Coturnix japonica: one gene and its partners. The protein of the gene in region 1 interacts with the protein of each later gene in a pairwise test. Links are inferred from orthologs where the notes say so. Each region holds a gene or a part of one and is shown in the gene's direction. Other genes may lie near its edges. The genes, in order: SPG21, ATPAF2, TFG, ARL6IP1, AKIRIN2 and CTPS2.

Region 1 (5,249 bases):
GAGCTGATAAGCACCGTGCTCCTGCCCTATCGATCAGCACCACCACAGCTGTGTGACTGCACCCAGAGTCTGCTGGGCTGCAGGCAATGCATCCAGGCAGCCGTCCACCCCGCAGCAGTGTCTGTGCTGCTCATCACTTCTCCCTCTTATAAAAGCTGGTAGGGTACAACATTAAACTGACCACACCACACGTCAGCTTCAGGCCCTGGGACAAAACTTGTCATGTTCAGCCAAACCAGAGCTCTGAGTGACTTTTAGCTCTATTATCTCTTATGGAAAGAACTTCAATGTAAAAATAAAGACTGAAGAAGAAAGTTAACACAACTGTCCTGCATAAGTAAACCCAGAGGCAACTTTTCAATAGCAATTCCAGCCCAGTGTTGGCATCTCCTGCTGGAGGATGGAGGCAATATAAGGGTGCAAACATGTAGCAGCACAGCAGCAGTCAGGTTTGGGCACTCTTTGTACTTATCAGAACACGTATCAAACATAAGGGCTGTGGCAGCTGCAATAGCACCTCTCCATAACCTGCCTAAGTTTAGCAGGCTGTGACATAACAGAAGGCTCCTTTGCAACTTATTAAGCGTTAATTGAGAGGTGAGGAACAAAACGCCAACTTTTAGGGCCAAACCTCAAGTATCCTGTAAGAGTCTTTAACTCAAAGGTGTCACAGGGAGACTGACAGGAGACGAGGCCACCAGAGCTGCCCAACAACCTCGAGTTAATACCAACCTCCACCACACCCAGCAGTGATGCCCCACAAAGTGATCTGCCCCAACCACCACCGTGTGCCAAGCGAAGACTTTGATAAGTTCCAAGTAAGCTGATGTGCAATATTACCCCACAAACATATTCTGCTCTTATTTGTTCTTGTACACAAGAAATCCATCAGAATTCTTAGATCTGAGGGGGAAAAAAAAACCCCAAGTTGTGTTTGTTCCTTAGAAAGGCACAGAGAAAAGCAGCAGTTGTGAGTTAAATACAGCTTTCAGAATCCTTGTTGCCCTGGTTCTGGGTGGGTCGGAAGGCCACGTTCAGCCTTCAGAGGGCTGATGGCCCACACAAAGGGGGGTGCAGCGCTGAGCTCAGCCCCGGGGAACCACGAACGGCCCCTCTGCCCTATGAGCCCCAAAACCCATTGAAAAGCAGGGAGGGCTGCCCACAGCAATGCATTGTGAGCTGACAAAGCGCACAGGACACACAGCAACAGGAGCAAAGGAAGGCTGAAGTCCCTCGGAGAGCTGCCAAGGGGCCTCGCGCTGCTCGTGAGCTGGACGCGCTCTGTGCCAACCAAGCACGGAATGACGCCAAGCACAGCCCCACAGCCTCAAACTGCGGCCCAAGATGGAAACACCGTGCGGGGCTCAGGGCTCCCTCAGCACCGAGCACCTGCGGAGCTGACAGGGCCCGGCCCGGCGGGGCAACACGAAGGAGCCACGGCGGGGGGGGGGCTGAGGGGAGCGAGGGATCGGGGTGTTTGGGGTATTTGGGGTATTTGGGATATTTGGGGTCGTTACCTCTCCTCGCAGAGGGCAGCGTGGAGCCCAAGAGACGCGCGGCCGCGGCGCAGCTGTGGCAGGCGGACATGGCGCGGCCGCGGCCCGGCCCGCTCCCCCTGACGAGGCCTTGGGCGGCGGCGGAGTGAAAACAGCCCCTCCCCCACACGGCGCCGCCTAGTGACGTCACCGCGCACACCTCCCCCACTCCCCCCACATCGGACTACCGCTCCCAGCAGGCACCGCGCGGGGGGGGGGTCTCTACTTCCGCCTCGGTAGCGATGGCGGCCCGTCCTGCTGTCACGTGGTCGGCGCGGGGTAGTACCCGGAAGTAGCGGCTGGTGGTGGAGGAGAGCGGCGCAGGCGGCACCGCGCCCCGCTGACCGGGCAGGGCCGAGCCGCCAGCGCTGCGCCCAGGTGTGTGGGGGCGCCGCTATTGAGTGTTACTGAGCGGGGCTGCGGGGTCTATGAGGCTCCGGTGGGCTGGGGGCGGCCGGGGCTGAGGCCGAGGGGTGGGTGTTGTGAGGGTGGCCCTGTGGGCGGGGGTCTCGTGGTGGGGAACAGGCCTCGTTGCGGAGTGGACGCGGGGCCTGCAGGCAGGGCACACACTGAGCAGCACTGGGCCTGTGGTTCCCTTCCATAAGCAGTGACAGGTCCTTGGAAACCCCGGTGCTGGACTCTGGATCACTTGGGTGCTGGCCAAGGTAAAGGGCAGAGCTCACCTGTGTCCTGCGTGCTCCTTTATCCTGCCCGCTGACAGCACACAGATCAGCTTAAGGCTGAAGGAGGGGAGGTGATGGCAGTGCGAGTGTAGGGGCTGTTTGCAGTGAGTGCTTTAGTTCATTGGAAGTTGTTGTCTTTGTGTCTGTGCAGCTCTGCAGGCTGCTGGAAAAGCTGTTCTTACCTTCACTGCAGTTTGATGTGCTGCCAGACTCTGACAAAGTGCTGTTAGCTCTATAAGGCCCTTCTAGCCTGCAACAGTTGTCTGTTACCGGGACTGTGCCGTTACAAGAGCATCGTCATTTCCTAATTGGAGCAGTGCATGAAGGCAGTTGGGTGACTGCCTCGTGGGAGCACAGTTGTGTGGTTTGTGATGAAAAGATGAGGAAATGGTGCAGGTCAGATGCAGTGCTGCTGTGAGCAGCTCCCTGCAGGTGCTTTGTGTGCATGGCACAGCTCTTGCCTGCTGCGTAAGGGAAACCCCGTGTTCTTGATTTCAAACATTGTTTTTCTTTGTTTCAGTCTGACCCGAGTTTTTTCCTAACCATCATGGGAGAGATTAAAGTCTCTCCTGACTACAACTGGTTCAGAAGCACAGTTCCTCTTAAAAAGGTATGTACCGCAGTCCTCAGCTTGCATGCTACATCTCTCCTTGTACTCTATGGCACAGGAATTCAAGCAGTTTGGCTCTGGATAATGCAGAACAGTTGTGGCTGTGTTCATCCAGACAAACTGTTTCCCTACATGTCTTAGGAGTGCATGAAAGCACACTCTTACTTTTACTTTTCACATGCTTCTGGGCAAGCAGCATGCTCGCAGTTGCTGCCTTCCAGCTGGTTTTGTTCTTTAATGTGGGCAGCTCTTTGGGCTGCAGGATGGTGCTGGCAGAAGAGGGAAGAACAGCACTACTTCTTTCAACAAGTTGGTTCCATTTGGGCCACTGTAAAGGAACTGTGTCCCCAAACCTAAGGAACAATGCTTAAGTGTGCCTGGCTTTCTCTAAGACATCAACCTCATGACATGGTTCTGCCTTCAGCTACTGCTGACTGATCAGGATTTCAGAAATAAGAACACGTGTGTAAGCCAAAGCTGTTGTTAACAGGGTTTCTGGTGACCTTCAGACTAGGGAATGCCTTTCCCCCTTGAGTGATCCAGCCATCTCCAAAGTAAAGTGATGCTACAGCGATGAATATGGGGTATGAAGAAGATAGAAGTAAAATAGTCCTTGTTTCTGGCGGGTGTGGGACGTACTTATGATTACATTATCTTCCCAAAGGCTTAAGCAAAACTTGTGCACTGTGGAGGAAGGAATGGCCAATCACTGTTACTCCTGATCAGTGCCTGTTACCCTAAAGAAGCAGAGCCAGCACTGTTTGAAAACATGTTAAGATGCTCCTCTCAAAAGCAGCAGGAAATACACAGCTCCGTTGCCTTTCCTGCCCTTGTCAGAAACAGGAAGTACAGTGCAGAACATAATATTTTTAGGCAAAGTCTTAAGCTCTTCCTCTGAACCTGCATTTGGATTTGTGGCCCCTAAAGTCAACAAGTGCCACAATGTGAGTGGCCCTGATGTGATATTTCAGCTCAGATAAACATTCTGGTTCTCCACTGGGAACTGCAGCCACTCTGGTCCTTGTCATGGCTGCTGTACTGTTGGTGTGGGTACTGCAGCTTCTTAGGGCCTAAAATGAAGGAAGAAGGGAGTACAAATTAAGGCTGATTCAGACCAGACGCTGTACCACTGTATAGGGATCTCCTCCTCAATATACACCACTTGCTGTTTTAGATCAGTCCTTCTTTAAAACCATCAGCAGAGGACACTCTGGTTCTGCTAAAGCCAAGGGAAGTTCTGCCTCTTGTTTCAGTGATGTACAGATTTTGCCCTTTTGACTGTAACTATTAACTGTTTTGACTTTTGACTGTAAATGCTCTTCAGCAGTGGACCTGAAAAAAGCTAATGCCCTCCCAAGCCAGCAGTTAACCATCCCACAGCACTTAGCATTGGGTTTGAGCTGTAGTAGTATCTGGGATGTGGCTGGAAATCAAATAGAACAGTTCAAACCCCCTGATTCATTGAGTTTGAGGAAAGAAACTTTACCTCTGAGCCTCAGTTCCCTTCATAAGTCAGGTGTTGCTCCTCATCTGGAAGTACTCCTTAAGATTCTGCTGTAGCCATTGACAGCTACCTTGAATGTCTCCAAAGTTACTGTAGAATAACAGCTGAGAGCTGTAATTTCTGGAGATGATGTGAAGGGTTGATTTTTGGGAGGCTTTAGGAGGGCTTTTGTGCAGGGTGCTGGGGGGGTTTTTGTGTGTATGTGTTTTCTTAGTGGCTTCAGTGGTCTGGGAAGCCCTGCTATGTAATCTGTCTTTCTTTGTTTCTCTTGGAGATCTCACAAAACAGCAGTATCATGTGATTCCTCACATGTTCCCAGAGCTTGAAATACCGGCTTTATTACAAGCAGATTTGTTAATCAAGCAAAAATGATACACTGTTCTCTAACTCCCTGAGCAGCTTAATTGCTGTGATGGGAAAGTGAATTATGCTTCTATGCTGCTATTCAAAAAATTACAGAATCTTGACACGTGGATGAACTCCTGCTGTGCGATGCAGCTTTCCTTAGATTTGTGACTGTTGATCTGGAATGAGCTGCATGCTTTTTGCTGGGGTGATGAGGGTTGAAACCAGCATGCTAAATACACACAACAGCTTGTTGGTAGGTCAGGCCCTGTAAAAGCGAGCCAGGCTTCAGCAAGGCTGGAGCAGACAATCGTTACCTAATTCCTATACTTCTGAATATACTATTTCTGCTGTGACTTCTTGCTTCTGGCATGTTACGTGCCCTCTGTGAGCAGCTTGTGGTGGATAATCTGCTTCATCCAGCTGTGTCGTAGGGACTCCAGGCTCTCCTGACATGTGCTTATTTCTTTCCAGGTCAGCTGTGCAGTGCTGCTCTGGGAGTTGAGTACATCCCTAGCAATCAGGTGTAACTGCTTTAAATCAATAATTTGCAGTTAGCAGCATAATTCAAT
Region 2 (3,915 bases), on another chromosome or scaffold:
CCAGGGGTTTGAATTAGTTTAGACGAGTCCTATGTCCACCAACCTAGTGGAACTCCATGCATTTAAAGGGCATAGATACAAAGAACAGGGACCTGTTTCTTTGTTGAAATCTGTTTGGAGATGTCCATGTTGGACAGGGAGCAGGAGCAGCAAGAAATGTAGTGGGAAAAGCAAAGAAAGGCTTGGGAGAATGTCAGCTCAGTCCCCTGGCACTCCAGTAGCATAAAGGTGTAGTAAGCTTAGATTACCTGTACTAGTAGTAAAATGCCCTTTGCTCCTTAAAGCTCCTGTGGGTTGCAGGATCCAGCCTACCCAAGCTCACGTCTCACAATCTCAGCCTCTGAGGTGTCCACTGGCAGCTGCTTTGCTCCTGAAGGGAGAGGGAAACCAGATTCACCTCACTTTTTGTGGCTTTGTTTGTGTTGGGCTGGGCAGGGCGGTGGCTGGTGAGTGCTAAGCTGAGCCACTGGGCGTGCAAGGCAGCAGGAAGGGCCCTGTGGGATTTGTCCCATGGATCACTAAATCTTGCTGCATCCCTTGGCTGGTTTCAGGTAATCTGCAGTCTTCTGTTGTAGATTGTAGCCCTGTTATATAGCTGCATAGAACTGTCCTTTCTAGAACAATAAAAAGCTTTGAATGGAGAGATTATTCCCAGTCCCAGCTGTTGCAGGTAGGGTGAACAAGAGGTCTATGCTCCCCATACTGTGGTCTACGGAGGGCACAGACTTTCTTCTCAGGAGTGCTGCAGTCTGGCTGGGAGCAGTCTGACAGCTTGTGTGTGAACACCCACATGGCTTTGTTGTGCAATGTCCCAGCTATCGTGTGGAGGAGCCAGTTGCCTTGGCAGAGCTGCAGAAGAAAGAATGGGATCCTATTGTTGCCTGGGCTGAGAAAAGGTGAGAGTTTAAAGCTGTTTCTAAAGGCCCATAGCTGTAGTGCTCGTGACTCAGAGCTGCAAGATCCACAAGCTTTTCTAAGGGGCCATGTGATCATGTCAGGTACAACGTGGCAATCGGATCCTCTACCAGCATCATGGGACCAAACATCCCAGCCAGCACCAGGGACACCTTCATCAGCCACCTGGCCTCCTACAACATGTGGGCTCTGCAAGGTGAGAGGCTGGGCTGCAGGAGCCCTCTGTGTGGGCTGCACAAGGGCAGGAGAGCTCCTCTCCATGGGAGAGGGGAGAGACTGTAACGTTTTTCCCCCCCTGCTGATATGCTGAGATGATCAGAGCATTGAGGTCATTGCAGTGATGGTGGTCAGGAGAGCACTATTGTGCCGTTAATTGCATGTCTGGCTGTTAGGAGCCCAGATGGGAGTGGGGAGGCATCACTGTGATCTGCCTGAGGGGGGACCACAGCCTGATTGTCCTTTCCAAGCATGGGAGGATGCTGCTGTAATGCTGTGGAAAACGACCATGAATATTGTTTGTTTTGGATTTTTCCCTTCCAGGTATAGAATATGTAATCACCCAGCTGAAATCTCTGATTCTGTCCATGGGCCTGATTGACAGGCACATTACAGTAGAGAAAGCCGTGCTTCTGTCTCGGCTGGAGGAAGAATACCAGGTAAATTATGTTACAGAGCAACCCCATAATTCAAATAGCAATAATCTCAGCATGACAAATGCACCCCCCACCACAAATAACTGGCAGGGGAAGTGCCTGCTATTACAGGAGAGGTTCCACTCCACCAGTCCGGAGCACGCTGCTGTAGAGCAACATGATAGATGCAACAGCCCAGGGTGCTCTTGGGGCTGCCAGTTTTGTTTTGCAGAACCCAGGTGGCTGCTTTTCTCCCTCTCTAATCTGAAGTGCAAAGCCATGGATGGCTTCTCTTGCTGTGGGTTTTCCAGGCTGGAGGCCTTGCTGGACACCAAACTATTATTAAATTGTTTCCTCTGAGAGCAAAAGCTGAAATCTGGCCTGGTGTGAAGCTCTCCCTGACCTAAAATGGCTGAAACTGATGAGAGTATTTTCATCCTCCCTTTAAGGGGTTTTTGCCTCAGAGCTCAGTACAGAGGAATCATGTCCTTCCACCGTATTCATCCAGAGATCTCCCTACCCTAGTAGTGTGCAGTCAGCACAGCTCCTGGAGGGCTGCCTGTGTTTCACAGACATGAGAAAGGAGGCTGAGTTGCCTAGCAGCTCTGAGTGTAATCCACTTCTGAACTGACTTGTGTTCCTCCTCCAGATTCAGCGGTGGGGCAATGTGGAGTGGGCCCATGACTATGATCTGTGTGAGCTGCGTGCTCGTGCAGCAGCTGGGACTCTCTTTGTTCATCTCTGCTCAGAGAGCTCAACTGTCAAACACAAGCTGTTGCAGGACTAAGGCTGCAGGACTGGGTGGAGGAGGAAGATGCCCTGCTGTGAATTGCTGCCGTGACCTGGAGAGGGTAACAACCATCCTGCCACCACAGCTTGTCTGGGATCAGGCTTGTGCTGAGGAACTGCAGCTTTGTGGGCAGCTCCTTGCTGCAGTGCAGCGCCAGCAGTTTTGAGCCCACGAGGAGGAAAGGTCAAGGTGAGCTCCCTCTGCATATTCAAGGAAGCAGCGCTGTCCATTACCAGTGTCTGTAATTCATCAGAGGAGCTCCCTTGAAAGAAACAGCTTCCTGGGCAGGGCACGGCACAGACACACCTAGCATATGCCACATGTCTTCATAGCTGCCAGCTCCTGACACACACTTGTTATGGAAATCTGAAAACAGACTCCGTTGCATCTGTTCTTCATCCCTCAGTGTGCCTGTATGTAACACCAGGGTCTCTCTGTTTGATTAAAGGCACGCCTCTTCAAGATACTGAAAGCTAATGCTGCTGAGTATTTCTTTGTTTTAATTGTCAAACCATGGTGTAGATCCTGAGCTGCTCGGCTCTACGCAGGTGTGGGAATGGCTGAAGGCAGAAAGTCGTGGAGCAGAGCTGAGCAGACACTAGAAGGCAGATAGATTAGCTCTCTCTGTGTGTCTGTGTGAGTCTCTCTGTACGAGGTGTCCTGTCCCAGCAGCCAAGGAGCAGCAGGGAGCTGACTGTGCAGTGTTGGAACAAGCAGGGAGGGGGAAACCTCCCACAGCCATTTCCAAAAGCATAAGGCACTTGGAGCTAAATCTGTACATCAGGCAGCACCAGCTGAAGGGCTTTCACGAGACCAGGTCTCTCCCCAGAGTGCATATGCAGCCACCCTTTCATTTAACCTTCCCACCTTTCTCCTTGCTGCTTGCCTCTAGCAGTACCGCCCTGGCCAGCATCATTCCTCAGAAGCTGCCCACAAGTGAGTGCAGCAGCTGCTGTCACTGAGCAAGGAGGGGAATTAATGACTCCTCGCTTGGCTGTTGCGAGCGGCAGTGTGTGAGTTCCTGTGGAACCATTGATTTCCCTTCCTGCTAGCTGGGGGCTGCTCTGCTCACGCTGCAGAAAGCTGCTTTTGCAAGAGGCAGCGACAAGACAAGGCTGCTAGGCACACAGAGCCCCAGCCACAGCCTTGTGCTTGCTGGGCTGGAAACCTGCTGTTATTCTGGGAGTGGTTTGATGGAGAGTGCTCCTCTCCCCAGCTGCTGCTGTGTGCCTGTGGCTCACAGGTTCCTGCCACTGTGCTTGCAGGTACTAAAGCTTTCAGGCATGATGTGCTATGATGATTTGGTTCAATTAGCTCACAGCTGAGCCATAACCCCTTGTGACCAGGTCTGAGCTCGGAACGGGCTTTGTGCCAATGTGGTGGAAGAGACAAAGCTTCATGTGCTTTTAACAGAAACAATAAGTATCTTTTATTTGCTGACTGTGGCAGAATGGAAGGAGTGTGCCTTTGGCCTGAAATGTTCCAGACAGCACAGGCACAGAGGGGCAGCATCCTTGTTGAGTGTTCTGCCGCTGTGTGCACCCAGATAAGGCAGCTGCCTGGCCCATGGCAGACCTA
Region 3 (4,394 bases), on another chromosome or scaffold:
TTAAGTCAAAACAAATATTCTGCCTCTGCTTGCCAAGAAAATGAACAAAGTAAATTCAGGAAAAATCAGCACTGAATTTGAACACCCAACCTTAAGAATGTACAGTTTTATTTCAGTTTTAGGGGCTGTACCCCTGGGTCTCTTTAAGAAAACCTGGCTTACAGCAAGTCAGATGTTAAGAGATGGAGGACTTGCTGAGAAAGTGTGGTCAGAATAAATAATGTACCACCGCTACAGTACTTTGTACAGAAATAGTCTTAAAAGCTATTATAAACAGACGATCTGAGGACATATTTAACTTCTGAAGTACTTTGATTTACAGTAAGTTCTGGAGAAGTTAGCAAGCCATGTAAAGATTTCTGCTCTGTTACACACCAGTGTAGTGCTAGGTAAGGTATATGGCTCTTGGCATCCACTGGAATAGTGGGCCCTCCGTCAGATTAGGACTGTGTGATCTGTCTTCAGAATGGCATGGTTCAGAGACTAAAATCTTGTAACTTGTACGTGTTATTTCTGCAACTCAAACCACTAGGATGTTGTGCGTCTGATCTTTTTGATATAGGTCAGGTATTGTCTCCCAGCCAACTGATTTCTCTGTCCCCAGGCCAGATGTACCAGCAGTACCAGCAGCCAGGTTACCCTGCCCAGCAGCCACAGGCACAGCCCCAGCAGCAGTATGGCGTGCAGTACCCAGGTAAGCGGCTCCTGCAAACTGTGGTGTAGCTAGGGGATGTCTCCATTGGTGCCCAGCCCTCTGAGCTGTGGATCCTGAATGCGTGGGGCAGCTCAGGGTGCTGAGCATCTCAAACACCTGCGCTTCTGAGGGAAATGGGCACAATTCAAAAATGACCAGTTAGCAGATGCTTTCAGTGTTTGTTGCTACTAAAGTTGGACTTCTGGTATCTCGTTTCTACCCATCTGTCAGAAGAATGCACTGGTAAAAAAAAAAACAGTAGGTAAAATAAAGCATGAGCAGTCTTCAGGGTTGAGGTCTGCATCACGGCATTCTAGCAAAGTTACTGGTGCTTCAACTAAAGGAGCTACTGCTTTTCACAGGAGACCATGTTAGTGCATTAGTGGTGTGTCTGCAAATACGAAACTCTGGGTTTTGTGTGTCTCCAAAATAAACTCGAGTTCAGAATTTCCAGTTATTTACTTCAGCAGAAGCAGGCTATGTTACAGTACAAGGATGGATGTATATCTCCAATTGCTTATTGTTTTTAGAGGAAGATAGAAAGCATTTGTCATGTTGCAGTTTAGATCGTTTAAAACAAACAAAGACGTCCATACTGGTAAGTGCCTCAGAAAACAGCCTGTACCACTGCTTTCTTTCCCCCCACAATGTATACAGTGGAAGTGCATCAGATTTGATATAGATGAGAATAGTTGTGTGGCTTGGGTAAGAATTGCAGAACACTTGGAACATAGAGGGTTTGTGCCTTATCCCTTGTTCCTGTGCTCTGTATAGGTAGATATCTGTGACAGACTGCCACCAGTCCAGTTCCTTCTGCTGAAGTTAGGCTTAAAGAAGTAGAACGGTCTGTCTGTCTTTCTGTGTAGATTTAAGGAACTAATGCAGGAAAAAAAGGAGTTTCCATCTATGTACTAATCATTTTCCACCATGGCCTTAAACTGTTTTTTTTACTGCGGAAGTTCCTGCAGTATCTGTAGCGCAACATGAGTTCTGCATCCCCAATTCTTAGAATGTCTCCAAGAAGACACTGTTATCACCAGAAATGATCTGGAGCTCCTTGTGTTTCCCCAAACCCATTTCCTGAGTAATCAGATCTGTCACAAGCAGTCTCACTGTGAGGGCCTTTTGACAGCTGCCATTGAAGAGCTTTACTTGGAAGTAGTTATTCATCTGCTTGTTGCTGTTGTGCCCACGAGGATTACCTCCAGAACCCCTATCCCCCAGAGTGTGATCCATCCCCACTCTGCCCAGTAGCTCTGCTAGACAAGAAGATTTCCTCATGGTAGTGAACATGCAGCCTACTAAGGTTTGTCTCATAAATTTTGATCCCAGTTTTAAGGTGAGTTCAAAATATACTTCAGTGCATTCTTCGATCCTTACTCTCTATTCAGGGCTGTGCACTTTTAATAACTTGTGTGTCTGGTGTTTAATGCTGACAGGATTCCAGTCAATGGAGAGGTTTCATTGCAAGTAGCTGCAGGTGTGTTTCGTGCTGGATAAAAGTAGCTATTTATTTCTTCATAAAGGGAATTAACGCTATTTTAAAGTATTCAACAAGAAAAAATCCTTTTGGAAGCTGGTTTTATGTAGAACCACCAAGTTGGGGCGTGTTTCAATGGGAGTTTTGTACTCAAGTATGCTGCTCTGCACAATTTCTGTTGAACTTACTTAACTCTGCTTTTAAAGAACTGAAAATATCTACGATTTAACTCGCACAATGACTTAAGAGTACTGAGCACTAACAGTGTTTCCATGACAGTTTGATCTTGATTTTTTTGGGGGGAAAAGGCTACTTTTTTGCCTTGTTTGTGGAGGAAGATTTTTTTTTTCTTACTTTTAATGTGTTGTGATGGTAAAATGCTGTTTGTCTGTCTTAAATTTCTTCTTGGCTGTGGGAATACCAGGCTGCGTGCTTACATGTGACAGCAGGAAAACTCGCAGTTCCTTATGTTTGCTTGTCTGTGCTTACCGCTCTACTTCTGCTGTCACCGCTGTCACTCTGTGTGCGACTTGGTGCCATGCCATGCCTTACCCCACATCTCTTCTCCCACAGCCGGCTACAGCCCACAGCAGGCCGCCTCGCAGCCGGCGCAGCAGTTCCCAGCCTACAGCCAGCAACCGGCCCCAGCAGCCGCTTTCCCAGGGCAGGGCCAGGCCCAGCAGCTGCCAGCGCAGCAGCCACAGCAGTACCCGGCGGGCAGCTTCCCCCCGCAGCCCTACACCACGCAGGCCTCGCAGCCAGCCCCCTACAGCGGCCCACCCGGTGCCCAGGCAGCACCCGGCACATTCCAGCCACGGCCTGGCTTCACCCCACCACCCGGCAGCACCATGACGCCACCACCCAGTGGGCCCAACCCGTATGCCCGCACTCGGCCACCTTTTGGGCCCCAGGGCTACGCGCAGCCCGGGCCTGGATACCGGTAAGGGTTGAGTGCCCGGTGCTGGCTGCTGCAGCCTGACAGCCATCCCTACCAAGATCCGGAGCTGTCCCGAGGCAGAAGAGTCACCGTAAGTGTTCATTAGTTCTGTGGGGGGAGGGAAGGAGCGACTGAGCTGTTCATGCTTTGAATTGTATCCGCTTCCTAGTTTAATTTGGGGCTGGGGTGGTTTGGGATCACTACCTATGTGTCTGTCAAGTGATCGATTGACATCCTAGCTTGCCTCGTTTGAAGGATATTAAAATGCTAGCTGGAAGTTTAGCCCACTAATAACATACATGATTTACTAAATTAGATTAATTTGGAAGTAAAAACTAGATATGATGTATTATAAATTGTAATGCTCACATGGAAAGCTAATAAAAAAGCCCTGAATCCATTATGTGCCTGGTCTTTAATTTAAAGTGTAGGTAGTATGGAACAAGAAAACTACATAAGCAAAAAGCTATGTGTTTAAATGGAGAACTGTTCCCAAGACATAGAATCACAACCTCATTTGAGTTGGAAGGGACATTTCAAGGTCATCTGGTCCAACTCCCATGCAATGAACAGGGATACCTACAGCTGGGTCAGGTTGTGCGGAACCCTGTTCAGCTTTGTTTTGAAATCTCCAGGGACAGGACGTCCACTGCAGCTCTAGGCAACCTATGCCAGAGCCTCACTATCCTTATTGTTAAAAAAAAAAAGTCTTCCTTATATCCATTCCAAATCTTCCTTCCTTTAATTTGAAACCATTTCCTCTTGTTCTATTACAGCAGACTATGATAAAGAATGTCTCCTTTCTTACAAGCCCCTCTTTTAGATAATGAAAGGCTGCTCATAAGGTTTCAAGTGTGCAGAAGGGTTAGGGCCCCCACTAGCACCTCATCCCTCTAACTCGGCTGTGCTTCCCCACTCCTTGTTATCTCTCCCTACCCTTTCAAACTCAGTGTAAAGCTCTTGGAGCCACCAAACAGCAACAGGTGGTTTTGCACTGTCTGCTGTTGTTAATTGTCAGGTTACTTCTCCTAAATATAGCTATAGCTAATATGTAGCATCTTTGAATTAAACGCTTGAACAAGGGGAGGGGGAGAATGGGTTCATTACTTAAAAGATGAAGCCAAATCTGTATTTTAATAAAGAACTGTTAAGGAGGAGCAACATAACACAGGTCCTTTGCCACCCTGAAAAATCTGGGAGCGTGATCCCAGTGACTCAATGCTGAGCCAAGAAAAAGCAGATTGAGATCTGTAAAAGCATTCAATAAACCATATAAACAGCAA
Region 4 (4,084 bases), on another chromosome or scaffold:
TAAATGTAATGTAGAAGTTCACAGCACTGTCCTACTTGGAGGGTTATGACTCCTTGTGTGGAACAGGTTTGGTTGGATGTCACAGGTGAGGCGGTAAATGGGGGCAGCCTGGGGGTGCTGTGATTTACTGCAGAACCAACAGGATGAGCTCTCACCCTTCTTAGTTCTTTTACATGTTCCCTCAGTCTTCCCATGCTCAGTGCTACATTCACTAGACCTCAACTTCTGGATGAGCAGTAATGAACTTTATGATATGCTTGTTGTATTATAGTATTTTCTAGTATGTTTAGAAAGTTGTATTTTGATATCGTCTCATTTCCTTGTAATAATATTGAAGTATTTAAGCTTGAATATTAAATTAAATTAAATCAATTAAAATTATTTTTATAGGCAAGAGGAGCAAATTTGAAGCCAAAAGAAGTTAGGCAAAGAGGGTGGTTCTGTTTGAAGTCCTGTACCAACTGGATACGTGACTAAGTACTGCAAGTATTTAGCAGTCTGAGCATCCAGAAACCATCTCCGTGTTGTTTTTACAGGATGATCTACTACTTGGATCCATCCGTTCTGTCAGGCGTCTCCTGCTTTGTTATGTTCATCTGTTTGGCTGATTATCTCGTTCCTGCTCTTGCTCCCAGAATCTTTGGCTCTAACAAATGGTGAGGAAAGCCTTGAATTAAAATAGCCTGAGTGTAAAGGAATTGGTTTCTATCCAAGCGAATGTCTGAATTGCAAGTGTTAAATGATTCTTGCATAGTCACTGTCATTGTCAGTCTCTGTAGTTTATGAAGTGAGGACACTTCTGAATTATTTTTCTGAAATAAAACTACTACAGCATAATCTTTATTGTTCCTTCTCTTCTAGCAAAGTCAGGTTTTATTTTGAAGGAGTAGGAGCGTGCCAGCAGAAGAACCCAATTAATTGCACTCAGCAGATAAAGGTGAAAGTCAGTGCTTCTCTGGCTTAAATAGGAGTTGCAGTTTTAGAGTCCATTGGAGAGACTCAGCTTACTTAAAAGTTACATAGGTGGTTGTATTATAGTGCTCAGTAAAAAGAATGTACAAAACTGAGTGAGGCAAATGTCAAGATAGGTACATTTTTCCTGCTGGAAAATAGTGTGTGTATATATAGTATATATACATATATAGTATAGTTTCAGATGTGTGTATATATAGTATATATACATATATAGTATAGTTTCAGATGAGAACATTAATTGTTATTCCTGTCTTCTCTTTATTAAAAGGACTACAGAACAGCAGCAAAGATTTCATGAGATTTGCAGCAATTTGGTCAAATCTCGTCGCCGAATTGTTGGATGGTGGAAACGTCTTTTCTCACTGAAGGAAGAGAAGCCTAAAATGGTATTGAGGTCCAGGGGTTCTTTGTATCATTGTAAAATGTCCCTTTGCTTTGTCCAATCAAAGCTTCAGGCGCTGCATGAAGCACAGGTTGTATGGACATGGGGGTAGCATACTGTGAGGGCTATTTCAATGGAGATGAGCTGCTGAACTGTAATAAATTGAATGCTGCATAAATAGTTGAGAACGTACAGGTGTAATCTCTGCAGTGTAAATTCTAACAAGCCTGTGCATTGATATTGCATGTGGAGGGGCCAGTGGGCTGCAGTCTAGTTTTGGACTTTGAAATGTCATTGCATACTGAAGGGAAGGATGAGAGTTTCCTTCAGATCAGTGGTAACTGTTCCCTTTTCTTTTCTCAGTACTTCATGACCATGCTTTGTTCTCTTGCTGTGGTTGCCTGGATTGGACAGCAAGTTCACAACCTCTTTCTGACGTATCTTATTGGTAAGTGTGTAGCATGCCAAACAGATCCAGCTTTGTCAGCTGCCTAAAATGGTACGAGGCTGGTGGGAGTGAGATGGGATTATTTGTGTGGGGATGTTTTGTTTAACATGGGACATTTAGTTGTGTGTTCAGACGGTTGGTGGAGCTTAAGGGAGGCAAAGAACTGCAAGGTGACAAAGATTGTTGAAGAGTTAATAAAGAATTGATTTTTGTGTTTATTTCTCCAGTGAGTTTCTTGTTGCTGTTTCCTGGGCTGAACCAGCATGGGATCATTACAAAGTACGTTGGAATGGCAAAAAGGGAAATAAACAAACTGCTCAAGCACAAGGAGAAGAAAAATGAGTGAAGACTGAACTGCTGTTTGCTCTTGTAAAAGGTTTTCTTGGGAACAGTTTTGTGAATTTATGTATAATTAAGATAATAGAAGTTGTATCGCTCACTGGCTTAACTTTTTTTTAATGGCTCCAACGAATGGAAAATGCCCCTCGAGCACTTGCTATGGGTTTGTCTCTTGCTGTGCAGATTGAGGTTCTGTGTTTGATTTAATGCAAAAGATCTTTGACGTGTGGAGCTTAAATTTCTTCACCAATTTAAGAGGCCTCATAAGTACCCTATGGTAAGAACTTACTGCAGCTGATCACGGTGGTTCTGTACCTGTTAGTGGTTTGTGGTTACAGCAGGTATGATGAAGGCGTTCTGAATGCTTGCACTTCTCAAAGCCTTGTTACTACTGAGTCCTGTGGAAAGGAGCCCATGAACTGACTGAGCGCTGGTGGCTGAGCTGAATCAGAGCTGGTGCAGGAGGTTGGTCCTGTTGTGTCCCTGAATCCCTTTGTTTCTGTGGCTGTACCTGCCGTGCTGGGCTCTGGGTCCATCAGCTTCTAGTTGTTGTAGCTGTAGGACAAAGTGTTGCACTGAGGCTGTGGGGTGGGTTTATGTGTGACCCCCACCCACAGCTCATTGCTCTGTCACGGAGCCCTTTGCTTTATGGCTGTTGTGCTGGGCTGTGCTTATCCATAGTGCTGGATTCGTGCTGTGCTCTTCTATCTCCCTCCTTATTTTTACAAAATAACTTTGTTTCTTTGTAAAGCTCCAACCTGTGTTCACGCATTTTACAATTGTATTGTTTGAAGATGGAGTCTCGGTGTTATTGTAACAGTCCAATAGGAAAATATAGATGATCAGACACTATTGTCATTCTGGTTGTGCTGTGTGTGGCTGGTGCCGGGTCGCGGTTCCGCCGTCGGTTGATTCTCGCGGTTCCCGTTGGCCCCGGGAAGCGTCCTCGTTGCTATGGGAACGCGCGTGGAAGCGTCGCGCCGGAAGTGCGTCACTCTGTTCTCACCAATGGGGATGGCGGAGCTCGGCGCGCGTTGCCTTCCGTATAGGATGCGGAGTCTCGCGAGATCTCCCCGTGCGGCGCGCTCGCCGCTCCGCGCTCATGGCCTTCCCATAATCCCCCGCGGGCGCCCGGCCTCTTCCTTTTCCGCCATCTTGCCGCACCGGTGAGTAGCGCCGCCGACTCGGCCCGGCCGCCATCCGCCGCTCCCCCGCCCCATCCTCGCTCCTCCGCCGCCTCCTCTCCCATCACCGGGGGCCCGAGACCGCGTCCGAGCGGTCCGACCCACTTTGAGCGCTCGGCGTCGTCTCTAGCGCTCTATAGAGCCTCCGAAGGGGCGGGTGGGGGGGAGCAGCCCGCCTGGCAGCACAGAGACACGGATGGAGGGAGGGGGCTGAGGGACGGGCCGGGCCAGCTCGTATTATTACTACTGTTATTCTTGAAGGCAGGGAAGCTTTGTAGCACGTTTAATACTATGTGTGACATGCTTTTTGGATGGGGCCAATGCTGAATTTATAAGATCTAAACTATTCGCCAAGGAAAGGTGGCACGGAATCACAGAATGACCCAGGTTGGAAGGGACCTCAAGGATCGTGTAGTTCCAACCCCCAGCGTTGGGGTTTTGCTTATTGGGGTTGGCATGTTGCTGATTACATGCTGCTTTTTAAAGCTGAGTGTGTGTGAGTTCATCAAACCCAAGCAGAAGTGCTGATGTGTGTGATTTGCAAAGTGCTGAATTCTGTCAAACAAATCTGAGCGTGTGTTGTGACTTGCTGAGGCTTAGTGCAACTTTTTGTCCTTCTTAGGTCCTAGGCTCTAAAATAGGCCTCAGAGGTACCTGTGAGTACAGATGTGATGGATGTGTGTGTATCATCACTGCCTCTCTCCTCCCCACAGGCACCATGGTGCGCATGAACGTTCTGGCCGATGCTCTCAAAAG
Region 5 (4,501 bases), on another chromosome or scaffold:
GACAGAACTGCACAAGCACTGTGGGCGTAGGATTGAAAAGGTAGAAATTACAGGGTGCTCTTTGTCCAGGAGCAACATCCAAACAAGCTCCTTGGAGAAGGTGCTGATACTTCTGTTGGCTGGAATTGATTTCCTTGCCCATCAATGAGAATCCTCTAGATTGGCTTGTGCTATTAGAGAGCAGCCGCCACTGAACCTCTGAACTAGAAATTGACAAATGTTTGCTTCTGCTTGATCTGGCATGGGCTTCGGCCACTTACTGAAACAGCTTATTGCTGAAGTTAACTTGCTTCATACGGGTGCGTGTTAGGAAATGTTCAAATGTAGGACCTCAGGAACATTGGGTTCACAAGCACTGAAAACTGGTGGAAGAAGGTTTCATGGTGTTGCATTGAATGGAAACAGGAAGGAACTGAGTTGGAGCTTTTTGCAACCCTGACACAATCACAGTGATGAATGTGTATGTGAGCCTTGAAAGGCCATCTCTGCCTTAAGTCTAGAAGCTTAGTCTGGGGGAAGCAGACTGTTTAGGGAAATGCGGTTTTGTTTGTTTTATAAATAGGTCTGAGCATTTACAAGAATTGTGGTATGAAGGGAGGCTTTGGAGCTCTCTTTGTTTGAAGGTCTCCTGGAGGAGTAGGGGGGAAGGCATTATTTCCCAAGGGGTGTCCATTGGGGGGCTCTGATGGTCCTGAGAGCTTTTTGCCACATATTTCAGAGAGGAGGCACCACAGGGTTGATAATGAGATGAGATTATTAGAAGCACCTGCTGTATTTACCCAGTGCAGGTCAAATGCTGACTTACATATTGCTGTACTCTCTTAAAAGAGGTTATTGATCCATCCACGGGGTTTACTTGGATACATCTGGGGCCATGAAGTGTTGCGAAGGCCTTTGTTTTTGTCTGTTGGATTCCAGTTCTTGGAGGGTTTAAGCAGTAGCTGCTTTATGAATATTTGGTCAGAATTGTTTCCTTCCCTACTTTGTTGCTTGTCTGTCAGATACTGAATAAGGAGGAGCGGCACATCACGGAGACTTAATTTTCATCTGTGTGTATCATCCAGTTTTTGGTTCCTACATTTCCAAATCAGACTGTTTGTTCTTGTTAGCTTTACCCCAGCACTGGCACTTGACCTTAATAAATAATCTATTCTGCTCATGTGTTCTCTTGTGAAAATGCTCTGGACTTAACACTTCTCTGTTAGTTTCATTATTTGCTTTGTGTCCTGGGTAAAATGGCACCGTTCTTGGAGGCTTAAGAGTTTAGTTTTTAGCATCTCCTGGTCATCTACATTAGATGTTCTAGTAGAAATAAAGTGAAATGCTGAAATGTAATTACTTGAGGTTTAATTCTTTGACTGTTTTTCTCCTAGAACAAATTCTGTACAACATAAAACAGGAGTACAAACGCATGCAGAAGAGGAGACACTTAGAAAATAACTTCCAGCAGACAGATCCTTGTTGTTCTACTGATGCACAGCCACATGCGTTATTTCTTACTGGACCAGCTTTGCCAGGTAGCCGGAGCGTTCTGTGTAATTTTGGTCTGTGTTCTCAGATTCTGAGGAAATAATTTGCCTTTTTTGCTTCCTGTATTATTGCACTTTCTCATCATTTATGGTTTCTTTTGGGGGGAAGCAATAATAGCATTAATCTGGAAGCTTACCAGGTTTTCTTCTTTCCCTGCCACTGATCCTGCAATAGGCTGATACAAAGCAGCTGTCTTTGCAAAAATACATTGTAGTTTTAATGTAGAATAGAAGCTTGTCAGTGGCAACTGCCATTTGTGCCTCACTGTGTGATGCTCCTGGCTTTTTCATACGTATCCTTTTACAGTTAAGATTCACTTTAATTTGAAGTATTCAATGGCCCAGGAACTAGTCTCCAAATAATATGTAAAATTCCTTTAATGTAAAAAGTGTGAGGAGAACTGATTATAATATGGGTTTTGAACTCCTTGTAAGTGGGACATGGGTTATACCCCAGTATTTTTGTCTTAGGTACTTCATCTGCAGCATCATCACCATTGAAAAAAGAACAGCCCCTGTTTACTCTCAGACAAGTTGGAATGATCTGTGAACGTTTGCTGAAAGAACGTGAAGAGAAAATCCGTGAAGAGTATGAAGAAATTTTGACCACAAAACTTGCAGGTATATTAATGGTTCAAAATAATGTGCTAGCATGAATTCAAAAGCTTTTATTTTGTTTTACTTCTCTTTTTTTGTATTATGCTGTTTAGTTTCTTTCTGAGCTGGTCTGATTAAGAATGAGATTGCATACAGTGCTGATAAAACTGTAGACTCTTTGATAGGATTTTCTGTTCTGCGCTGTCTTGGATAGAAACTGTGACTCCTGGGTATTACTAATCAATGGAAACAGAGGTTTTATTTCACATAGAACTTTCTCTCGCTGCTGTGTTGGAATTGATCATTTCCTCTTCATTTTATTTATTTTTTTTTTGCCAGAAAGACTTTCTATTTTACTTCTTTAAGAGCTCTTTGTGAAGGATCTTTTTCCCTGCTTGGAAACTGACTTCCTTTTTCTGGAATTTGGCAAGAAGACACAGTACCTAAGACTTCCCTTTCACTTCCCAGTAATTACATTACTCTGCTGCCAGCGGTGTTGGGTAGCTGCTTCATTGTCAGTAATTTAGCTGCGTTTCTGTTCCTCTGTGTTGAATCCTTGCATTTCCTACCAGTCAGCTGGTGTTTTTGGCGCCTCATGTCAGCTTACCTTTGATAAGGATCGTGTTAATGCCAGCAATGTGAAAAGGACTTTCCTTCAGTTGTCAGTGTCCTCTACTTCTGAGTGTTTTGCTAAGGTCTGAGGATCTAATTTTGGTGTGTTCAGAGGTAGATGCCTTCACAATATGATGTGTTTAATGCTTAGTATGATTATAATGAGCATTTCAGGACACGCTTTGGCAGTGAGCTTAGTTTTTGAATACCTGTTGCCATTGTGTCCCACCTGAAAACGCATCAAATTAAAGTTAGCAGATCTCTGGATTCAGGAGCCAGCTCCTGTGGGCATTGCCCATGCAGGAGGTCACCAAGCCTGTCAGACTGCTGGGTTGCACGTGACAGCGTTGTCTCTGCACCTGAGTCTGTTTCACGTTCTGTGCTTTCTGGTCTGCTACCATGAAGTGTGTGTTTTCTTAATACATAACCAGCCCTGCATACTTAGTTTTCTTTGGACCTAATGTTTTGTTTGTAGATTCTTCTTTCTTAACTCGATTCAGACTGATTAATTGAAACAAGAGTCTTTTTTTTTCCTTCTAATTTATGTATGTTAGGAATGGAGTCCTTTCTTACATTCTTAAACGCTTTTCAGTTAGCGGTGATGATAACAACCAATTGAAGACCAGATATGCTCATTGATTTGTCTCAGTCTTTGAGTCCAACTTGCAGTTCTTTACAGCAGGAACCTCTGGCACCGTGTGCTCTTGTGTCACTCTGAAAGGGAACCTCAGGGAAGGGGAACAGTACCTTCTCCTAGGGCCTGAGGGCAGCGTACAGTGAGATGAGATAAGGTTTATTTCCCTGTAGGGTGATCTCTAAAAGAACTGGTTATTGCATCCCATATATTTTGCCAGTAGTGAATTCTTAGTATTACACAGGAGTTTAGAAATAGACTGTTAGAATTGGGCATAATTCTTTTCACAGAAGACCACTTGCATCTTTCTGCTGGCAGAGCAACTATATCCCTTTCTTTGCTTTGTACAGTGAGGTGATGACTCATTTTTACAGACCAGTGAAATGAATGGAAATGCAACTGGAAATTGTGTAACAAATATTGATTAGCTTCTTTCAAGTGACTGAACGGAATGTTTGGAACTTGGATCTATTTTCTTCATTCCTTTCCTGAATCATGCTTTTCTTGGAGGTAGTTAGCCAGATACTGCCTTTTTTGTTTTCCTCTGCCATGTTCTTTGTGAGCAGCATTGCCTTTCACGTAGAGTGAGTGATGGAGTGATCAATGGAAAACTGAGGTTGCTGTAATGCCCCGGATTTCCCCTCCTGTTGTTATTTGAAACCACGATGTCAGCATAAACTTAGCCTTTGCAGATTTGAAACCCAGAAGGGAAGACTGCAAGGGGCTCAGTGAAACTTCAGCTTGAGAGCAGTTCTAGAACCTGCTTGTGAAAAACAGCTCTATTACTGCAATTCAAGTTATGAATTCATTTTAACGGTGCTTGTATTCATGGCACTTAGCCATCTTTTGACTTGAAATAGCTAAAACCTGCCGTAGGAGATTCCAGTGGTCCAGGTATCTTTACAGGTTCTCATCAGTTCACGGTAGATGATTTTACCTTTGGATTCCTTAACTTTCTTATGCTGAATGCCACAAGAAGGGGTTTTTCACTAAGTGTGGATTCTTAAAATTACCAAAACCAGATTTTTAACAGAGACGGTGCTACAAAGTGGCTGTGTATGTTGACATAAACCTTAAAAGAAGAAAGCTGGAAGGTTTCTTTCTGGCCTTTAGTACATTCTTTCGGGAA
Region 6 (5,238 bases), on another chromosome or scaffold:
TTTCTTGAACACTCCCATGGTCAGTGACTCCACCACCTCCCTGGGCAGTGCATTCCAATGCCTGGAACCTTTCTAATCCCCCTTCCCTGGAAGCATTCAAGGCCAGGCTGGATGGGGCTTTGAGCAACCTGGTTTAGAGGGAGATGTCCCTGCCCATAGCAGGGGGTAGGAACTATGTTTTCTTAAAGGTCTCTTCCAACCCAAACCATTCTATGATCCTTTTCATCCTGACCTCCTTTGATGTCACAGGCAATGGATCCACACCTCACCATACCAAATTCTTACTACCATAGCAAATTACAGGATAAATGTTTTTGTCACTAACATCCTATATTCTTCCTCCTGAAAATTCCAAGTACCCTTCTGGACAACCAGAGTAGATTAGGACCTACTTACAAGAACAAACAGACACCTGACCAATCACTACAGTCAATTTGCTGCATTTCAGAAAGCTCAAAATACGTATATTAAAGAAACACCTCAGACTGACGTCTCAGAAGACACCGAGCCAGAATTTCAGGGAACACCTTTAGTACAGAGCTACACTTTGTATTAATTTTACCTAAGAATCTACACTAGTAATGCACAATTCCTACCTACAGCCCTACCTCTCTACAAATGACTTCAATATAATAATCAAACAGACACTGCATACCTATAAGGAATTAAAGAAACGCCCACACCACTTTAAAAAGCATGTGATTTGTATGTATGCATTGCTTTACTCATAGCGCCAATATGTAAAGAAACGCTGTTCACTTAGTGAGACATGATAACCTAAAGGAACACCTGAAGCCATTTGCTTGGTTACTATCTCAAATACACAACAAACGTTACACAACGGCTGTTATACAGTCATCAACAAGTGTGACTTAGGAAAGTAACTGAGATAGTTTCCTATCTTAGTTAACCTGACCCAAAGTATCATTTACATCTAGGAATATTACATCTGCTTGGGGGCTTGTTTTGCTATTCACTTGTTTTTTCAAGTATTGTGGCCACCTTGCTTAGTGATGCAAAGTAAACATAAGCTACACTGGGGTTATAATTACCTACAGAGAAGGCAGCTCTTTAAGCGCGTGGGGATGAGAATAACCATTTAACCTAAAACCTACATGCAGTTGTTCAGTTCAGTTAAAGCTCAGTGCCAATGAGTAGCACCAGGGGATTTACCAGTAACCATGCACTGAACTGATCTGCCTTCACTCCTGTTGCTAGTCTGCCTTACTCTCACTATACCACGGGTAGTTAGTCTGCCTTATTCTCACTATAACACGGGAGATTCGCTGTCTTTAAGGCTACATCACTACTATTTCTAAGCAGACACATCGCTGAGCTCCTGGAGCACGTCCCAGGCAGGACGGGGCAGGACAGAACACAACAGGACACTCACTGCCGAATCCCTTGGCCTGGTTGAGTAGCGCATCCGTATCCTCCTGCGGCTCCGCCCGCTCCTGGCTCTGCGCTGCCGGCTCCGCATCCAGCTCCTCCGCGGGGCTGCTCCCCTCCTCGGCCACCAGCAACTTCTCCTCTCCCGCCCGCTCCAGCCCCAACCAGCTGCCCAGACCGCGCAACATGGCGCGGGGGCGGCCGCGCAGGCAGCGTTTAACGGGCGCTCCAACGACCGGCCCCACTCTCCACACGGACTAACAGACCCCTCGCTCCTTCCGCATACGCCACGTCCGGCTGCAGGGGCGGGGTTCTGCCTGAGGGCGGGGCTGTGGGGTGGGCAGCGTGCGGTGCTCGCGTGGGTCCGTGTCCGCCTGCCTGCTCCCCTTCCCGCGTGGAAGGTAACGCCCCGCTGCCTGCTCCGGAGGAGGGGCCCTTTCTTCCCTCGAGACTGTGCGAAGCGGGTTATGGTACGGGGGTGAAAGTGGCCCCGCCAGTCGCCTCGGCCACTATGGCCGCCCTATGGGAGCGGGAGCACCGCCGGGCCCTGCCTGTCCCACTGTAGGACAGGCAGTGTGTATAGGGATGTGGTGTAGGGAGCCTGCTTTGGCAGGGGGGTTGGACTCGATGATCTCTAGAGGTCCCTTCCAACCCCTACAATTCTGTGATTCTGTGAGGGCCGTGCGCTGCCTGTTGCTGCTCCATGAGCTCGTGGGGGTAACACTGAGCCGTTTTCTGCTCTACTCGAGCTGCTTTCCAGCCCCCGGCAGGTGCTTGCTGCCACTGCCCTCCCTTTGGTTTTCATTACCTTTTTTTCATCATCTCTTGTGGGTAGTACCGTGGTACTTAGGAGTAGCGGTGGTTTCTGTAAGCACGAAAGTTCAAGCTGTCTGCAGGGCGTGTGGCAGCTTGTGGAGCCCTGGAGAAGAGGGAACTTGGTGGCTTCGGTATTTAGGGAGAGAAAAAGAGCTGGCTACTATTTCCAGCAGCTCGTGTGGTTTCCCAACCCACCTGGCATGTGTTATGTTGTGAGTAAATAGTGGGTTTCCAGAGCTGTAGGGAGATAGGGAAAGCTGTGCTTCTGAAAGTAGCAGCTCTTGGTTGGGTTCATGTCAGGAGAGTGGTGGGGTCTGTGAGTCTTGAAATGGCACGTGTTGAAGATATATGCATTTCATTTCTTCATTCATCAGTTTCTTGTTTCTTGCTTTATGCTACTCTGCAGTTCTGTTATTAGCATCTTTACGGGTTGTGAAGGGGAATGGAAGGAAATTTCCTCCTTGTTTTCTTTAACTTCTGTTAGTGTTTGCTGCATGGTGACCTCTCACTCTGTAAATTCTAAGGGTTCTTTTCTCCTGGATTAAATGCTTTGGTTGCTGCATCCTCTTTGTTCATACTGGCAGAGAAATAATACTCTGTTAATTTCCTGCTATCCACTGTAAAAGCATTGATAACAAGCATTGTTGCCTTCTTGACCTCTGACAGCTGGAGCTCTAGGCCCTATTTATGTTAATTAATAACATCAGAGGAGCAGTTATTCTCTTGCTACTGCATCCTACCAGTGTTTAAAGAACACTGTGCTGACTCATCTTATCATGAACTCTTTCAGATCACACGCTATTACATGCTGTTTTGAACAGTTTGCACGTGTAGGTAAGGAAAGGTTATTCTTGACCCCAAGCCTTTTGCTTTGTGGCAATGCTGTGACATGGGGAAGTTGGCCATATTGGAGGCCACATGACACAGCTCTGTGCTATCCAAGGTTGCAGTTCTGACTTTGTGTGTCGTCACTTTGAATGTTTCTTTACATCTGCAATTTAAAACTGGCTTAGCTTTGTTTTTTGCTAGTACAGCATCAACTTTTCTACCTCATGGTCCAGAGAGGCTTGGGTTTTGTTTTTTTTTTCCCTCTGTAATTAGTTGGGGAGTGAGTGGGTATGTGAAGAAAGACTAATAGGCTCACGGTTAATATGCTGTCATGCAAATGTGGATGTTTTGGTTCAGTTTTTCTTGCTGTTATATTCCATTGATGTATAGGATGTTGTAGGACCTTTGGTGAAATACTTTGTATGTTGTGAACTAGAGAGGAGAATAATGTAGTGGATGATACAGAATGCTGGTTTTATTAGATACTGGTAGCTATAGGCTGAAGGTTTTGAAGGTAGATCTGCCAAGGAGAGGATGTGATTGTTCTGGCTAATGTAGCAAGGAACAGTGTTAGAGCTAACTTCTCAAAACATAAATGAAGCAATTGATTTCTTTAATTCAGGAAGAATCTAGGGTGAGATTAGTCTTGCCTAACTTGTGGTTCTAAAAGGTGGTTGGCTGTTCCTGTCATGTTAGAGAAGTCAGTTGAGTTATACCTGTTTTGGTGTCTTCACAGGGCAGTGCATCTAATTAGTATCTCAGTTTTCTCATTGATTGTGGAGAGGATTTAGACATCAAGCTTAAATAGTAACGTACAACGTGGGAGGGATTCTAAAGTGGTGATTTTGTTGTCTGTTCCTGAAAGTCATTTCAGTGTTGATTCTTTGCATAGCGAGACTGTTATTCCCCAGGATGAATTTGCATTAATCAAATGTATCTTTGTCATTTTAGATTTCCAGCGCAAAATCTGTGTGCTTGATCTGATTTTCCAATGAAGTACATCCTTGTAACTGGTGGAGTCATCTCGGGTATTGGCAAAGGGATCATTGCAAGCAGCATTGGCACCATACTGAAGTCATGTGGTCTGCGTGTCACTGCAATCAAAATTGATCCTTACATAAACATAGATGCTGGAACGTTTTCACCATATGAACATGGTATGAAGAACAGCGCTGTTCCATTTTGTAGTAAATATTTACATATTTAATCACGTGTTTTTAAAACAAGCAAACACACAAAAAACAGTAGTACAGTAGTTATTAGTCATTTTATCATCTATTTGACAATGCAAACTTATTCCCTTCTGTGTGTTTTCAAGGGTGTTGTCTGCTCTAAGTAAAGAGAGGAGCCTATTGGAAGATAGGTCTGTGTGTATAGACTTACTTTCTATGAAATTCTGCTTTGTTGAGAAAATCCTGGCTGTGGGCCTTGTTCAGTGTATGCTGTCTTCTGTTCAACATGAAAAAAATTGGAGTAGTACAGCTTCTCACTAGTGTCAAGTGACAGGATGAGGGGAAATGGCTTCAAGTTGCATCAGGGAAAGTTTAGGCTGGATATTAGGAAGAACTTCTTTACAGAAAGGGTAGTTAAGTACCGGAATAGGCTCCCCAGGGAGGTGGTTGAGTCACCATCCCTAGTTGTGTTTAAGAGCTGTTTGGATGTGGTGCTCAGGGATATGATTTAGTGGAGGATTGTTAGAGATAGGGTACTATGGTTAGGCTACAGTTGGACTTGATCTTCAAGGTCTTTTCCAACCTGGGTAATTCTATGATTCTATGAGAACATATTTGAAGCTGTACTGCTGGACAATCAGCTGTGAATGCTGCTACCTGGGTATCAGCGTCTCTAGCATGTCATCATGAGAGTTAGATTAAGCTTTTGTTTTAGTTGATGAAGGTCAGGTAAAAACCCTCCGTGGAGCTTAGAAAGCTGGCTAGTCTTATTACTTAAAAATAGATGCTTTTAGTTTGGGTGGCTTGTATCGATTACTTTGATGAGCTGCAAAGCAGTCTGATAGGCATTTATAATGCTGAACATTCTCCTGTCATGCGTGGTATTAGTATGTCTATTGAAACCAGTGGCTTTCAAAGTTCCCAAACACCTTCAGACAAGAGGGATTTCTGATTTGTTGTAGTTGTCAACTTTTGCCTGCTTAGTTTTAGTCTATATCAACATCTTTGGAACTGAACTGAAAGCAGTGCGCAA

The links.
Region 2: the proteins of SPG21 (region 1) and ATPAF2 interact in binary tests that used the Homo sapiens proteins (3 or more experiments, as listed by UniProt). The two-hybrid records come from large-scale screens. The link is inferred for Coturnix japonica from reciprocal best matches to the Homo sapiens genes SPG21 and ATPAF2.
Region 3: the proteins of SPG21 (region 1) and TFG interact in binary tests that used the Homo sapiens proteins (3 or more experiments, as listed by UniProt). The two-hybrid records come from large-scale screens. The link is inferred for Coturnix japonica from reciprocal best matches to the Homo sapiens genes SPG21 and TFG.
Region 4: the proteins of SPG21 (region 1) and ARL6IP1 interact in binary tests that used the Homo sapiens proteins (3 or more experiments, as listed by UniProt). The two-hybrid records come from large-scale screens. The link is inferred for Coturnix japonica from reciprocal best matches to the Homo sapiens genes SPG21 and ARL6IP1.
Region 5: the proteins of SPG21 (region 1) and AKIRIN2 interact in binary tests that used the Homo sapiens proteins (3 or more experiments, as listed by UniProt). The two-hybrid records come from large-scale screens. The link is inferred for Coturnix japonica from reciprocal best matches to the Homo sapiens genes SPG21 and AKIRIN2.
Region 6: the proteins of SPG21 (region 1) and CTPS2 interact in binary tests that used the Homo sapiens proteins (3 or more experiments, as listed by UniProt). The two-hybrid records come from large-scale screens. The link is inferred for Coturnix japonica from reciprocal best matches to the Homo sapiens genes SPG21 and CTPS2.

Annotation. Positions count from the first base shown.
Region 1 is NC_029525.1:16,064,924-16,070,172, reverse strand, and holds the start of SPG21 (maspardin), read left to right. Parts: upstream 1-1,779; 5' UTR 1,780-1,913; intron 1,914-2,134; exon of another isoform or gene 2,135-2,200; intron 2,201-2,738; 5' UTR 2,739-2,765; coding exon 2,766-2,828; intron 2,829-5,249. Other genes in the region: CLPX (ATP-dependent Clp protease ATP-binding subunit clpX-like, mitochondrial), read right to left, coding at 1,518-1,587. UniProt on the Homo sapiens protein: May play a role as a negative regulatory factor in CD4-dependent T-cell activation.
Region 2 is NC_029529.1:5,008,788-5,012,702, reverse strand, and holds the end of ATPAF2 (ATP synthase mitochondrial F1 complex assembly factor 2), read left to right. Parts: intron 1-815; coding exon 816-896; intron 897-998; coding exon 999-1,111; intron 1,112-1,455; coding exon 1,456-1,571; intron 1,572-2,196; coding exon 2,197-2,334; 3' UTR 2,335-2,814; downstream 2,815-3,915. Other genes in the region: DRC3 (dynein regulatory complex subunit 3), read right to left, coding at 3,913-3,915. UniProt on the Homo sapiens protein: Plays a role in the assembly of the F1 component of the mitochondrial ATP synthase (ATPase).
Region 3 is NC_029516.1:76,134,995-76,139,388, forward strand, and holds the end of TFG (protein TFG), read left to right. Parts: intron 1-604; coding exon 605-694; intron 695-2,747; coding exon 2,748-3,118; 3' UTR 3,119-3,514; downstream 3,515-4,394. UniProt on the Homo sapiens protein: Plays a role in the normal dynamic function of the endoplasmic reticulum (ER) and its associated microtubules. Required for secretory cargo traffic from the endoplasmic reticulum to the Golgi apparatus.
Region 4 is NC_029529.1:8,038,981-8,043,064, reverse strand, and holds the end of ARL6IP1 (ADP-ribosylation factor-like protein 6-interacting protein 1), read left to right. Parts: intron 1-536; coding exon 537-656; intron 657-1,243; coding exon 1,244-1,361; intron 1,362-1,720; coding exon 1,721-1,805; intron 1,806-2,032; coding exon 2,033-2,151; 3' UTR 2,152-3,002; downstream 3,003-4,084. Other genes in the region: RPS15A (40S ribosomal protein S15a), read left to right, coding at 4,047-4,084. UniProt on the Homo sapiens protein: Positively regulates SLC1A1/EAAC1-mediated glutamate transport by increasing its affinity for glutamate in a PKC activity-dependent manner.
Region 5 is NC_029518.1:69,571,733-69,576,233, forward strand, and holds part of AKIRIN2 (akirin-2), read left to right. Parts: intron 1-1,373; coding exon 1,374-1,517; intron 1,518-2,000; coding exon 2,001-2,150; intron 2,151-4,501. UniProt on the Homo sapiens protein: Molecular adapter that acts as a bridge between a variety of multiprotein complexes, and which is involved in embryonic development, immunity, myogenesis and brain development.
Region 6 is NC_029516.1:109,439,909-109,445,146, forward strand, and holds the start of CTPS2 (CTP synthase 2), read left to right. Parts: upstream 1-1,699; 5' UTR 1,700-1,790; intron 1,791-3,984; 5' UTR 3,985-4,024; coding exon 4,025-4,190; intron 4,191-5,238. Other genes in the region: SYAP1 (synapse-associated protein 1), read right to left, coding at 1,394-1,577. UniProt on the Homo sapiens protein: Catalyzes the ATP-dependent amination of UTP to CTP with either L-glutamine or ammonia as the source of nitrogen. Constitutes the rate-limiting enzyme in the synthesis of cytosine nucleotides.